2 linked regions of the Alligator mississippiensis genome follow. The protein of the gene in region 1 purifies or fractionates together with the protein of each later gene. This does not show direct contact. Links are inferred from orthologs where the notes say so. Each region holds a gene or a part of one and is shown on either strand. Other genes may lie near its edges.

Evidence for each region. The genes of interacting proteins can lie anywhere in the genome.
Region 2: the proteins of UPF1 (region 1) and SLBP purify together in Homo sapiens (affinity purification with western blotting; 4 studies listed by BioGRID and IntAct, with this or other methods). This does not show direct contact. The link is inferred for Alligator mississippiensis from reciprocal best matches to the Homo sapiens genes UPF1 and SLBP.

Annotation. Positions count from the first base shown.
Region 1 is NC_081839.1:1,283,012-1,290,491, reverse strand, and holds the start of UPF1 (regulator of nonsense transcripts 1), read right to left. Parts: upstream 3,001-7,480; 5' UTR 2,780-3,000; coding exon 2,555-2,779; intron 1-2,554. UniProt on the Homo sapiens protein: RNA-dependent helicase required for nonsense-mediated decay (NMD) of aberrant mRNAs containing premature stop codons and modulates the expression level of normal mRNAs.
Region 2 is NC_081825.1:17,630,671-17,638,516, forward strand, and holds the start of SLBP (histone RNA hairpin-binding protein), read right to left. Parts: upstream 3,019-7,846; 5' UTR 2,964-3,018; coding exon 2,896-2,963; intron 2,791-2,895; coding exon 2,665-2,790; intron 1-2,664. UniProt on the Homo sapiens protein: RNA-binding protein involved in the histone pre-mRNA processing.

The DNA.
Region 1 (7,480 bases):
CTGCACGGTGTGCTGTCAGCATTTCAGGCCGTGTGCTTTTAGAAGACTCACGTAGACAGGAAGCACGGCACCCTTTCCATCTGTTACCTTACCTTAGAGTACAAGCGCTTTTCTAAATGCCTGTCCACCCTCAGTGTCTTACGGGGCAGTGCATTTCAGAGTTCCCCGCTTTACAGACGGGAAAAGTGAGGCACAGAGTCCGAGTAACATGCCCATGATCACGTAAGAGATCTGGAGGCGCAAGAAACCAAACCCGAGTCTCCCACACTCCAGACTACAGCCCTATCCGGCTAGCCTCTGCCAAGCAGTTTTTCAACCAGTTGAGCATATTAGCAGTTGAGTTGAGCCGTGTCCCTCCTCTACAGTAGACTTTAAAAAACTTGTCAGTGGGCATATCAGCTAATGTGCCAAAAGCAGCTATTTTAAATCTCTGCCTGGAGAGGGCCCTGAAGAACATGAAAGGGAGAAGAGGAAGTAGGTGGTGAGAAACAGAGGTAAGACAGCTGCAGTTAGAAGATCAGGAGTGTAGCAGTGTGTGCAGAAAGGCTGATTTACATACAGGCTTTAGAAAAGGGCCGCATCAGCTGACCTGTGAAGAAAGAAACTGTATGGCCATCACTTTTGCACCACTGACCCCTTATTCCCTTGCTAGTGGGACACTAGTCGACTTCAACGCCTTTCAAAGTGCTCAGCTTAATGCCTGCCACAGGAAGAAAGCCCTCATGTGGGAAAGTGCCATTTCCTACACGGTCGCAAGTTGGGTCTGCTAACATGCACAAGTCTGGACAGATATGTACCGAAACTGCAAAGACAAAGCAAACGTGGTCTGAGATACACTATGGTTTATACTGCCTACAGAACAGCGAAAAAATATAGTCTTGGTAAAAAAAAAAAAGTGCTTTTCTTCATGCTTGTTTTGCCAGTTTTGAAAACTATTCAGCAGCTTGTTGATAAAACTCCAAAATAAGATCTTCCCTTGAGTGGGGGTAGATGATCCTCGCTACCTCAATATCTTCTTTACGTGTTCCTTTCAAAACAGGAAAATGCCTTTAGTGTTAATCCCGAGGCAGAGACTTTTAACACTGGTACGGCACTCAACCAGGAAAATCACGAGGCAGCGCCGCCAGATGTGAGCAAACCACCAAAGAAAATGTAGAAGTGGCGTGACAGCTCCTAGAAACTTATGACAGGACGATACACGGTACAAGCACGGTGCCCGCGTATGCTATGAAACTATGTCTATACACACAGGACAACACAACCCGGTTACACTCGCAGGCCTGGCACACGCGGGGTTTTGATGAGATCAAACCTGTGTACCGCTTGGAAAAAAAGTTTATTTTTTGCCCTACCAGACAAGCCGTCCTGTCACCGTGCGTGCTTTTCTGGCACCCGGGTTTGAATGCACGGATTTGACATCCAAATAAACGCACAAGAAAAAGACACAAAGGTGAACTGAGAAATCCCTGTCAAGACCCGAGTTCAGGGGCCTGGGTTTCTGCTACCGACACCAACAACTGCAGCTAAAACCAACGCAGGGACCTGCACTCCCACTTCTGCCTTTGATGCATTGGCAGCAGGAGCACAGTCCGAGCAAGAACGCAACCCAAAATGAAACGTACTTCACCTGCTAGAGCCGATTCTGGGCTTTACCAGCATTGCGATTCACTTTTAAAACTTGCATTTCAATGTCCCCACGGTTTGCAAACAGCTCGCTGCAGGGCAGCAGGACCCCACACGCACACGGGGATGGGCGGCCTGGATAAGACGCTGCGGCCCCGACGTATGAAACCGCCGTTTTTCTTTCTAATGCAATTTTCCAAGCGTCCGAGCCGCGCCGCCGAGGCAGCTGCGATCCTCAACGATTATATTTCCTTCTGCGGTGGTCCGACCCCAACTCAAATCCTCCCTCCTCTTCCTTCCCCAGCCCAGGCCGAAGCCCCAGGTAGCAGCAGACCCGCCGCGCCCCGGGGAAGAACATCACTCACGTTCCCGACTGACGTTGGGCCCTAAAGTCTCCCTTACTCACCTTTGACTCCTTCCCCACCTGTCCCTTTACCTTTTCTTTCCCTAATTCCTACCTATGTACGCGCTCTCACGGACGCTTTTAGCCTCTTCCGCTCCTCGAAGACGATCGCGCGCCGCGCAGACTCCCTACGCCGGACGAAGGGGGCTGCGCCCGCACGCTCGCAAAGACCTTTCCCCCCCCAGCTATTTCGCTGGTTTAATAAGAGAGCGGGGGAACGCGGTCCGGAGCCGTTTCCCGCTCCGTGGAAGACGGACGCTTGGTTTATATTGTCTTTGAAGGAACGAAGCTGCGGCGCGGTGTAGTTCTTGCCACAATAGTTTCTGCGTCTGCCCAAGGAACCGGCCCAGGCTGACACGCGAGCTGCTGCCCCGGCTTCTGGGGTCGGCGCTTTGGGGGTGCCGAGTCGTGCGTTTGGTGACACTTCTCGCCCGCTCGCCCGCCGGCGCTGGGCCGGCCCCAGCCCCACGGCTGCACTTCCCCGCCGCCCGCCGCCACGTGCTTGGGGAGAGGGATCCCCCGGCTCACCTGCGCCTCGATGGGCCCCGGCGGGCCCTGCCCCACGCCGGCCGCGCCCGGGCCCTGCCCCGGCCCCGGCTGCCCCGGCCCGGGCGGCGTCTGCGTCTGGCTGGGGAGGGTGAAGTCGGTGAACTCGAACTCGGAGCCCTGCGTGTCGGCGCCGAGCAGCTCGGCCTCCTCCGTGTCCAGGAAGGTGAGCGTCTGCGAGCTGGGGCCGTACGCCTCCACGCTCATGGCGGCGGCCGGCCGGGCCGGGCCGGGGCCCGCACCGCACCGCACCGCACCGCACCGCACCGCACAGCACCGCACGCCGCGCTTGGGCCCCGGGAGGCGGAGGCGGAGGGAGGCGGAGGCGGCGGGAACGGGAACAGGAACAGGCCGCGCGCGAGCCCCGCGACAAGGAGCCAACGGCCGCCGCGCGCCCGAGCCCAACCGTGCGGCCGCCGCGCGCCAGGCCCCGCCGTGACGACACACGCACGCCAGCGCCGACGCGGCGCGCCACGTACGCCGCGCCCGTGACGTAGCACGCACACCTGCGGGGGGAGGGCGGGGTCTAAGGCTCGCTGAGGGGAGGGGGGAGAAGCGCCGTTTGTCATTGCCCCTCAGTGAGGTGAAGGGAGGGAGGGGGTCTGTTATTGCCCCCTCAGTGACATGAAAGGAGGGAGGGGGTCTGTTATTGCCCCCTCAGTGGGGTGAAGGGAGGGAGGGGGTCTGTTATTGCTCCCTCAGTGACTGGGGGGGTCTGTTATTGCCCCCTCAGTGACATGAAAGGAGGGAGGGGGTCTGTTATTGCCCCCTCAGTGGGGTGAAGGGAGGGAGGGGGTCTGTTATTGCTCCCTCAGTGACTGGGGGGGTCTGTTATTGCCCCCTCAGTGGGGTGAAGGGAGGGAGGGGGGTCTGTTATTGCCCCCTCAGTGACTGGGGGGGTCTGTTATTGCCCCCTCAGTGGGGTGAAGGGAGGGAGGGGGTCTGTTATTGCCCCCTCAGTGACTGGGGGTCTGTTATTGCCCCCTCAGTGACATGAAAGGAGGGAGGGGGTCTGTTATTGCCCCCTCAGTGGGGTGAAGGGAGGGAGGGGGGTCTGTTATTGCCCCCTCAGTGACTGGGGGGGTCTGTTATTGCCCCCTCAGTGGGGTGAAGGGAGGGAGGGGGTCTGTTATTGCCCCCTCAGTGACTGGGGGGTCTGTTATTGCCCCCTCAGTGGGGTGAAGGGAGGGAGGGGGTCTGTTATTGCCCCGTCAGTAACTTGGGGGGGGTGTTATTGCCCCCTCAGTGATTGGGGGGGTCTGTTATTGCCCCCTCAGTGAGGTGAAGGGAGGGAGGGGGTCTGTTATTGCCCCTCAGTGACTGGGGGGGGGGGTCTTCCGGTGCCCCCCAGCGAGGGCTGTGTCCCTGCAGGGGTGGGGCGGGCAGGCGGGGCTCCCGTGGCAGTAGCACTGCGCAGAGGTGTGAGCCCCGGCCCTGTGGGGACAGGCGGGGGGTCCTGGGAGTTAACCTGCATCAGAGGAGACGGGGCACAGCCATGCGAGCGTCGCAGGGGACGGGACGGGACGGGACGGGACAGGGCGAGTGGGTTGCACCCGGGGCATGAGAGCAGCGTCCGACTGAGGTGTGTCCGAGAGCCCCGAGCGCGGCTGTGAGACCTCCAGTGCCGGTTGGTGAGCGTTCGCCGGGGATGGTGCAGACAGGCCCAGACGATCCCAAACGGCGCCAGGTGGCCCTTGAGAGCTCTTCCAGCCTTATTTTTCAGTGGTTTGTGGTTATCAGGCTGTCGCTAGAGAAGAAATCTCTGTACCTGTTTCCTTTAGGACAGGGTTCTTAACCTTTTTAGACTCAACCCACCCCCGTTAGACTCAAAGCCGCCCTCGGATAATGCTAGCTTAGTTCTCGCTCCTTTTTTGACTGCAATTTTTCCGTTGCAAAGAACTCCAGAAGATGGCAACAGGTGAGAGTGTTTTTAGCGCTATGGACTCCTATTTGGATTGTCTGGGTTTATCATGAGAGTCGTGTTTGCACACCTAACAGTACTAGCATTGTGTGGCACCCTTGAAAGGATCTCGGAGCACCCCAGGGTGCCATTGTACCCTGGTTGAGACTCACTGCTGCAGGGGTGCAAGATTTTCCACCTTCCCTTTCTTATCAAGACTTTGTATCCAGAGTGGATGAATGCTGTATCCGTGCATTGGCTGCCTACCTGCCCTTGTTTGCAATAGACTGATCACATCCCCGTGTCCAGGTTACATGTCAAAAGCCACCTTGCCCACTTGACGTGGGGTCCAAATGGCTAGAGCAGGACACTGGGATTGAGGGCTCCCTGAATCTGTTCCCACATCACTAGGAGAGTGTGGTGTAGTGGTTAACCAGGAGTTTGGGAAGTACAACTCCTGGGTTAATTTCCTCTTTTCCTCCCTCAGTTTCTTATCTGTAAATTAGAAATAAAAATACCCATTTCACACTAAAATGTAAAGATTAATTAATCATTGTAAATCATTTTGAGACATATGGGGATTGAGGAGTATCAAGTACTAATTGGAAATTTGGCTGTGATTGAGAATGATCAAGTTTTGTTACTGTTTACTGTGCTATTTGCACATTTGGCAAACAGTTGCACAAGAGGGTCTGTAACTGGATATGCTGTAGAAATTGAGCTCTCTGCTCATCTTCAGAAATGGTCCTGCCAGGTCCAAGCTGAGGGACATTTGAGAAGATGCATGGGAATTCTGTGAAGACACGGAGGACTTTGGTTTTGGGTGTTTTCATCCCATTGCCTTTTACTAGTTCAAAATTCAGAGCTGTTCTAAACTAACTTCTTCAAGTTGGTTGTGGCAAAATGAAATGGAAAGCTGGAGATGGTCATTCTCCCCCCCCCCCCCCAAAAAAAAAAAAAAAAGTGATTTCACAGCTACTGAAGATGGGTATATATTTCCTTCAACACATAGCCTTTATTTTGTCCCTGTTTTCCCTGTAGAATGAATCCCAGGAACAGACGCGCAGGCATGCAACGGTCCACTAGAAGCATTGATGTAGAATGGAAAATTGCACCTTCTATTTTCTGAAGCTTCCTCCTCGTTGGACTATCCTATACCAATCATATGTAGAAAAAAAAAAGTAGAGAAGCTGAGAGGGCTAATATTTCTATATACACATTGTTTGATTTCACCTTTAGTTCTGAGTGCCCTTGAAGAAGCGGAGTATGCTCTAGGCCTAATGTAAAATTGTCCACATTTACAGTTGTGACCTAGTAGCTAGCACCTTGCCCTCCACTATGGGCAGTTCTTGGTCTTCCTAACTAGCTTTCCAGGACTGTGATCCACATATAAATATGTAAATGTTCCTTGAATAGACAAATCTATCTGGTTGATGATAAAAGAACTGCCCCTTAATCCAGTTTTATCAAGTGATATTATTTAGCATCTAAGGGCAACTTGGGGCCTATTTACCAGTGAGCCATGAGAGGAATCGGCTAAACCTGGAACCTTAAATTGGAGAAAACTTGCTTATGAATTATATATCCCTTAATACCCCTTTATACAGTCTTGTCACTGACTTCTTTAATGAAGGGGAGGATTAATAAGGAGTTCTTAAATCTGCCAGTTATCCAAGGGAATCCCCACTCGTGGAAACAGAGCCGGAACACTAAAGTAGGTTAGTGAAGTGAACCATTAAGGGCAAGAATGGAAAGCTGACTGTGATCACAGCCCCTGCCGCTATCCTGTGCCAGGGCACAAGTCTAAGTCATTCCACAGAGCTTCCACAGCTCAACAGTAGTTACAGCCCACCTGAATTAATCTGCAAGTGTTTGTGTGATAAATAGAAAATCAAGTGAAGAGTTATTTTCAGTTATCCTCAAAGGTATCTTCTTTTGTCTTAATATTCTCATTATTTTTAGTGTCCCATGGAAAAAAACCTTATAAAATGAGATCATTGGGTCCAGTGTCACGGTACTTTCTGTTTTGTTGGCTGTCATGAAAGAGTTCTTGGGAAGGAGACTCCCCGGCCCTGAGCCTTACACCGCTTCTCTAAAATTTACAGTTTCCCTATTCTGCAAAAGCAAGGAACAAATCAATCTTGATCTGTGTATCAGTAATAGTAGGAGGATAATTATCTGGGTCCTCAGAGTCCTCCTATCTTATAACCATCTCAGTCACGAAGCTCTGGATGATGTTAGCAAGAATGAAACATGAAAGCTCAGTCATAAACTTTGAAGCATCTTCACTGAAGACAGGTTTGTGGAAGACTGCATACATATGTGGGCCCAAGGATGGTGCAAGTCGGTGACATCTGAGCAGGTAGGTAAAACTGATCTATGAAAATGTGTCTCAGCCAGTTTAGAGCTGTGAACAAAAGTCCTGCTCTCTGTGGAGCCAACTCTAGGCTTATCATAAGGAACTTTCCCACCACGTTGACCTTGTGTTGTTGGGTTTTTTTGTTTTTAAGGATTTTATTCTGGTGAAAGGCATGAGTCCAAGAGCAGTAAAAGAATGAAACACCATGTATCCACAACATGCAGAACATGGGCAGTTGCAAGTGCAGGCTTCTTCCATGCTCTCTCCTTGGAATGCACCTCAGCTGCTTTCTGAAGAAAGCCCCTTTACATCTGAAAGGTTAGTTCAGTTTCCATTGTCCCTTCTAGCCTCGACTTCTGAGATTTGCCAAGAAAGGGGATAATTGTGGGGTGGCTTCATGGCCTAGAGACTGGGCCTCTCGGAGCTCAGGACCAACAACTCTTTTCATTTAGGCCATTGGTCAGCCATCAGGTTGAGTAGTTTTGCACATTGTAAGTCTGGAACAGATTCACCTGGTAATCCAAAGGTTTTGGAGGATTTTGTATTGTCATTTGCAGACTGCAAAATCATCCATTTCTCACAGACCTCTTCATAATTTTGGAGAGCTGTGAATTTTGAATCAGAAAAAATGTAAATGACATGAACTGTT
Region 2 (7,846 bases), on another chromosome or scaffold:
GGAAATACAGGCTGGATGAATGAACTGTACAGTAGATAGAAAACTGGCTGGATCATTGGGCTTAGAGGGTAGTAATCAATGGCTCAATGTCTAGTTGGCAGCTGGTATCAAGTGGAGTGGGTCAGTCCTGGGCCTGGTTTTGTTCAATATTTTCATTAACAAATCTAGAAGATGTGACAGATTGCACCTTCAGCCAGTTTGCAGATGACAGCATGTGGGGGGGGGGGGGGGGGGGGAAAAGAGGTAGTAGTAGATACACTGGAGGGTAAGGCCAGGATTCAAAGTAACCTAGATAAATTGGAGGATTAAGCCATAAGGAATCTCATGAGGTTCAACAAGGACAAATGCAAAGTCCTGCACTTAGGACAGAACAATCCCATGCACCAGTACAGGCTGACTGGCTGGGCAGCAGCTCTGCAGGAAAGGGCCTGGAGGTTACAGTGGACAATAAGCTGAATATGAGCCAGCAATGCGCCCTTGTTGCCAAGAAGGCTTACAGCATACTGGGCTGCATTGGTAGGAGAGTTGCCAGCAGGTCAAGGGAAGTGATTATTCTGCTCTATATTCACTGGTGAGGCCACATCTGGAGTACTGTATTCAGTTTTGGGCCTTGTACTACAGAAAGGATGTGGAAAAAGTTGGAGAGTCCAGCAGAGGGCAACGAAAATGGTTCAGGGGCTGGGACACATGACTTATGATGAAAGGCTGAGGGAACTGGGTTCATTTAGTGTGGAGAAAAGAAGACTGAGAGGGGATTTAACAGCAGCTGTCAACTCCCTGAAGGGTGGTTCCAAAGATGATGGAGCTGGACCTATTCTCAGTGGTGGCAGATGACAGTACAGTCAGTAGTAAAAGCTGCGCTGTTTTTCCCAATTTTTCCTGAAGAGAGTTCATGCAGGGGCAAGCAGGGACAAGCAGATGAGGCAGCCACAGTGCCTGCTTGGTCACCTTCTTGGGGCACTGGGCCACTTCCCTTCACCACCAGGCTGAGCCCCATGTTTACTATTAATGCATTGCAATTAATGTTTTAAATATAATTATAGTCTAACAGCTTGTTTCACATCCCTAATGTTAACAAACATCTTTTCTGTTAATTGAGCATGTCTGAGGCTATGATGCACAGGCCACCTGGACAACACCACAGAACTAATACTAGTCACTTTTCAAAGTGAAGTTAAGCTTCAATTGTGTAGCTTCTTATTTATATGCCAGCCCCAGCAAGTAAAACAGAAGCCACCGATTGCAAGAATGGAGTAGCAATGTGCTTAATGTTATACTGGCAACAGAAACAGTGCCTCAACTCTGAGCACATTCATGAAGATGTTTGCTAGGTAACTATAATTTTTTTCCTGCAATATGGTACCTAAACGGGTACATAAGATTTCATAAGCAAAGAGAAGAAAACAGGGTTTCCTGTCTTGGTAAATCTAGCATATATCAACACTGGACTCTTCACTAGCCCAGAGCCAGGTTTGGCATTTGGATCACGTTGTGCTGCAGTCACCTTGGCAGACGGGGAACTCTGCCCCTGTCAGTTGAGCAGTGGGAAAGGAACAGCTGTGGCTGTAAGGTCATAATGCCTGACCAAGCACCCCACTTCCCCCTACCCAACTTCATATAGATTTATAGACTGTAGGGCCAGAAAGGACTTTAGAAAATCATGGGGTCAAGCCCCCTGCACCAAGCAGGAAAAACAACTGGGGGTCAGGTGACCCCAGCAAGGTGACCATCTACTGCTAGGCCTCAGCATTATACAATTAACTGGCCAATTGCCCAAAAAATTTAGACAGGCCACATGTACAAAGTCATGATCACATGATTAAAAGGCCCATTCCTGCTATTAAATACAGAACAGCTCAACAGCTACTCAGCTTTCATCTGAAGGTGCAGCAGGGCCCCTAGAGCAGTGTCTCTCAACCCACCTCTCACAAACCAAAAGTGGGTCCCATGAATATAGGAAAGGGTTGCAGAGAAGCTTAAAAAAAAAAAAAAAAAATGGATCAGCAAGCTTTAAAAAATGGATTCTCTTTTAAAAGGAGAAAAAGGTGGGGAAATCAGTGAGTTTCCCCCTTGCAGGCTGCCCAGTCCCAGCCTGGCCGGGGCTCCGTGCCCCACACTGGGGGCAACGGGTCAGGACTGAGGGGCACCGGGCTCACAACTGGCCCTTGATGTTTACAAGGGGGGTACAGCCCGCCGCCCGGGGCTACGCGAGGTGCGGGCTGCAAGCAGCAGGCAGCCCATCAGCCTCCGTTCTCCGCGGCGCGCTGCCAAACCAGCCCGTCTTTCCTGGGTCCCGGCCCCTTCGCCACCTCCTGCAGAGCCTCCTGCTGAGCTCCTGGCCACAGGACTCCTCCCCCCGCCCCCTCCCACCATTTTATGTACAGCCTCCCCCGGTACTCCTGGCCCTGGCGATGCTGGCGAGATACCCGACCCGCTCCCGGCCCCGCGTACGCTTGTGACATATCCAACAGGGAGGCGGCTCCGGGCAGGAGGACTGCAGGGTCTTCTTGTCCCTCCGCTCACACCCCCGGCCCGTTTCACTGGTCCCATCCCGCGTCCCGCTCGGATAAACAGGCCCCTCGCTCCCGCCCGGCGGCGTTTCCTATTGTGCTGCGCTGTGCAGCCACCCGACCCCCTGGGAGACCGGCCCCGAGGAGCACCCACCTCTCGGCGCGGCCGCCCGCCGGCCTGGCCCGCGGCTGGTCCTCGTCCTCAGGCCCGCTCGGCGTCCGTTGCTTCCCGTCGGCTCCGCGCTTCCTGCCGTGGGCCCAGCGCGGCGGCGCCGGGGGGCTGCGGGGACGGGACAAGCGTCAGAGAGCCCCCATTCCCCACCCACGTTTCCCGCCTCCCCAACCGCCCCCCGCGGGAAGGGCCCGGCCGCTGCCTGCCCCCGACCTGCAGTCGCTGTCGCGCGGGCGGAAGGCCATGGCGCGGGGGGCGCAGCTCGAACCCTCCATTCGCATCTCCCGCCGGACGCCGACTGAGCGGTCCCGCGTCGCCTCACCCTTCTCCCCGCACTGCACATGCGCGGGCCGGCCCATGGAGCACAGTGAGTGGGGGGGGTAGCGACTCGGAATGTTCCATTCCCCACCGGCGCCATTAGCGAGGACAAATGGTATGAGCAGGAGGGGGAATGGAACATTCCCCTTCCCCCCCACATGTGGCGGCTCATGGACGCGTCAGGCAGCTGGCGCGTCCTGTGCGCAGCGGCCCCGCCCTTCGGGGCGTGTTGGCGGGAGAATCCGAAGTGGGCGCTGGGGTGGCTTTAGCGCATGCGCGGGGCGTTGCTCAGGCCTGGAGGGGGAACTAGGAGCTTTACTCACCCCAGGGTGCAATTCTGCAGGAAAGCAAACAAGGGTGGCAGTAGGGGGGGGAGAGATCGAGGAGAGGGAGATGATAATAAGCCATGAAGTCAGTTGACTCTTTCAGCACTTCCTGAATAGAAATGCAGTTGTCCCTCCCAGGCAGTTGGTTTTAAACTTTGGGTGGATCCAAAGGTGGGGTGCAAGTGCACCACTGCACCTCCACCCCATGGATCCACCCCTTGCTTGGGGCACTTGTGAGCCATGCTGTGCACAAGCCACCTGCAGCCCACAAGGATGTTCACCTCCACTTACTGAGCAAGATCATAGGAAAGGAGGGGTGGAAGGGACCTCACAAGGTCATCTACTCCAGCCCCTGCTCAAGGCAGGATCAGCCCTGACTAACCACCCCTGCCAAGTGTCTGACCAACCTGCTCTTGAAAACTTCCAGGGGTGGAGGAGGTTACAGAGTTTCTCTAGGCAGCCTGTTGCAATGCCTGACCCCCTTCATAGTCAGGCAGCTCCTCCCAGTCTCCAGCCTAAATATCCCCTCCTGCAGCTTGAGGCTGTTGCTCTTAATCCTGACCCCTACAGCCACAGAGAAAAGCCTATCTCCATCCTCTCTATAATTGCTCTGCAGGTATTTGAAGGCTGTTATCAAATCCCTTCTCAATCTTCCCTTCAGACTAGCTTTTTCAGCCTTTCCTTATAGGTCTCGTCTCCCAAGCCCCTGATCATTTCTGTTGGTCTGCACTGAACCCTTTCAATCTTTCTGCATCCCTCTTGAAGCATGGGCCCAAAACTGGACACAATTCATGAGTGTGGAATAGAGCATAAGAATCGCTTCCCTTGATTTGCAAGATAACACAGCCAGTTCTCTACCAAGGGTTCAAAGAGTACGATCCCTGCCCCTGCCTCCAAGGAGCTCCCACATATCTAGTATTGCGGAGCCCAGTGCACAGTGCAGTTCCTGTGTGTAGTGCAGGGCATGTAAATCCCTGCTGTAATTGGGAACAAAAGGTCCCCAGAAATTAGTTGTTCTTTTATGCCCCTGAAGCTAAGGAGCTAGAAGAGTGCAGATAACTGTATGTAACTCAGTTACATGATGTTTTTGAAAGGCTTAAAGCATCTAGAGAAGGGTTCAAATATTGTTAACTTCCTTGAAGCTGAATCAGAATAAGCAACATGCAGAGACTGCTTTTGTAGTGACAAAAAAGGACATTGATTTTCCACAGTTATAGCCATACCAATGTGGTAGAAACTGCATTTTAGAGAATAGCATGAGCTGTTATGCTCTTCTTCTCAATGGGCTGTTAGTTGATCATTTAAATGCCCTCTTTTCTGTTTGTTTTAAATACAAGTAGAACAAGGTAAGCAGAGATCCTGGATCAAGGAACTATTTATTTCCTTCCTAAAAAGAAAATAAACCTCCTACCCTGCCTGCAAGGATCAGAAAGAGAACTGCATCCCATTTGCACAGCTGCCTGTATGGCTTTGCAGGCAACACGTCTGCAGAAGTCCTCTCCCATCCTGCCCAGATTCTAAAAGCTCTGTTCAATGCCTTTTTTTTTAAATAAAGATACATGTTCTCCTACTTGTAGAGAAAGAATCCTTGTATGTTAAGGCCTTCACACTGCTACCACAGAGGGATGGACATGTATGAATTTCAGCTCCTGATTTTTTTTCTTGTAGTAACAAGGCCAGAAGCACAGCATAATTCCTGGTTTCTACATACGGTAGTTCACATGCGGACACGACATCCTCAGACCTACTAAAACTAGAATCTTTTTTTCCGAAAAGGCAAAACTTCTACTGTAGTGTGCATAAAAGGATAGTGAACGTGTCTTAGAACTAGATTAGCTCTCTAGACTAGCCGTTTTTTATTGCATGTTGTGTTCTGCATAATATTTGCAAGGCTAGAAGTGAAGCATTATAGAAGAATGGAAACAGGAAGTGGAAACTGCTGATTCTGAGCAGCCTATTTCAAGGGCAATTACTAGCACCCACTGAGGTGCTGTACAGATGAGGAAGGCCTTAAAACGCCCTTTGATTGTGTGACACAGCCAGTAATCTTATTTTTTAAGGTAAAGTACACAGCCAGGTTCTGAATTGTTTTACACTTTAGAATTTGGTATGGTGTTATTGAACCTGGGGTGGAGCTACAGCTCCATTGTGTTGAGAAAAAATACAGGGTACATTTGCACCTCATAAATGAAATCAGATCTATATAGTGCAATTTTTTTGTAAGCCCAAACTCACTTCATTAGATGCTGTGATCACTTAATCAGCATCTGAACAAGTGAGCTTGGTTTTATGAAACTTATGTTATAGATCTCTGATTTAGTTGGTCTATGAGGTGCACAGATTCCCTGCCTTCTGCCTGTTTTCAGACTAATATGGCTAACTACCTCTCTGCTCATGGAAACAAAACACTCATGGGTTTTCACAAAATAGGACTTTAGCATGACAAAAAAAGCACAAGGTGCTGACCACTCTGGGTTGCATCACAGTTTGGTTTCCTGGGCTGGACAGCAGCTCTCCTTATCCACTGCATGAGAAACTATTGCAGGCCACAGAGGGGTCTGGAAGGGAAGTATACACCTCAGGCCAAAGGAGGAAGGAATCATCCACACAGCATGACGACGGCCAGACCATAGGACTTCAGATACATTGTTCTGCATAGACTGCAATTCAATGCACCTTGTGGGCTTCCTACACTTTCTTCAGCATGCTTTTCTCTCCATTCCCTGGCCTCTAGATCCAAATTTCTCCAGTAGCTCCAAGAACACATATCTTGTTCATTGTTCTTGACTCATTATCACAGTCAGTCTTTCAGCAGTATGGAAAGGGGGTCTGCAAAAGTATCCCAGCTTAAGCTACCGATATATCACCAAACATCTGCTGTTAGCATTAATAGGTTAGTTGACAGTGATCATTGGATGCCTGCTCTTTCCTATTATTTTTCCTATAGATCTACACAAAAATGAACAGGGACAGACTCACTGCCCTTGGTGCACACTGCTGGCATTTAAGGGGGTATTTTACAAACCCTGTAGTCATGTGGGAGCAGGTGGGGGCATCCTCAAGTAAGCCTAGTAAGGACTGATTACAGGCAGTAGTAGTTTCTATGACCTTGTCTCATGCCTGTCTCTGGGCACCACATTGTCCACATCCCCCATTCCTCAATCAGCAAGTTATCACTGTGCAGTTCTTCCCCATGTTAAATCAGTGGTTCCTACTCCCTTTAGCATTATGTTTTAACTAGTAGCAGTGCCTCTGGTGAGAGCATGGCACATTCTGCTGGGCTCCTTTGTCTCTTGGTAAAGTCTTCTGGATTTCCTTCTCCTGTGCCTGGGCCTGAACTCACCACTCTTGTACCTCAATTTCTGCCTCTTCCACATAAACTGCCTCAATTCCTTCAGAAATGCTGTATTTGCACTCATACTGCATCACCAAGGAAATCCAGACCTTCTTTTTGGACCAGGGACCACTGTGTCCATCTATCAATGCTAACTGCAAGAATTACTGGGGTTGAGTGGGAGGATAGTAGGAAAGTGTTTGTCAAGAACTGTGAGATGGGGAGACTGCAAAACAGGCACCTTCCAAGCATGAGGTCAGCCTGCAGCCATACCTGCAGGTTTGCTAAGGTTACCTAGTAGGAACAGAAATGTTTCAAAACATGGTAGGCTATTCAAGTGGGGGACTATGCATGTGTGGGGGGGGAGCTTCCAGTCACGGTGATCCCCACAAAGCAGAAGATGTAAAAAATTAAATGTTCAATTCTGTGGGAACACTTGGTTTCAGTATAGCTCCTAAGCATCTACAAAGGCATTACTGGCACACTGCAGTGGGTATAAAGCACTTATGCAACTCTGGAAAGTGGTATAACTTGCATGCCAAGCTGCCATAGGCAGACTTTTACTGAGAGGACTTTGAAACCTAAAGCAGAAACCCTTAGAGACCCTGGTTTTGATTACAGCAGTGTCAGCCTTAGAAATGCAAATGGCCAGATGGATTTTGTGCAGGTGTGAATCGCTCACTTGGCCAGCTGGCAACAGGGTGTCTCAACACTGATAAAGGAAGGAGCATTAAGGGCTTATCATAGGAACAGAGAAAATCCAGCCTGCAGCCCAGATCTGGCCCATCAGGCCATTCTATCTGGCTTGTGGGGTTCCTCTAAAATTTAGAAAATTATTGCCTGCTGGTGACTGCCTATCTAAAAGCCGATGAGGCGCCAGTGATGGGCAGGAGGACCCAGCAGCAAGACCCACCCGGCACTCCCACACCCCACCCTACCCTTAGCTCCCACCAGAAGCTTCTGCCTAGCAGAGACTTCTGGCCTGGGACCCTGCTGCTGTTCCCCTGCTCTCCCTCAGTCCAAGAGTGGAAACTCAGGTAAGAACAGTGATGCACACACACATACCCCGCTGGTGATTGCTCTGCTGCAGGGAGCTCATAGGACTCTGGCTTCATGCCTCCATGTGCCACTCCCAGCTAGAAGTGGCAGAAGCACCACCTGGAGGCACAGAGCCAGCCCAGTCTGA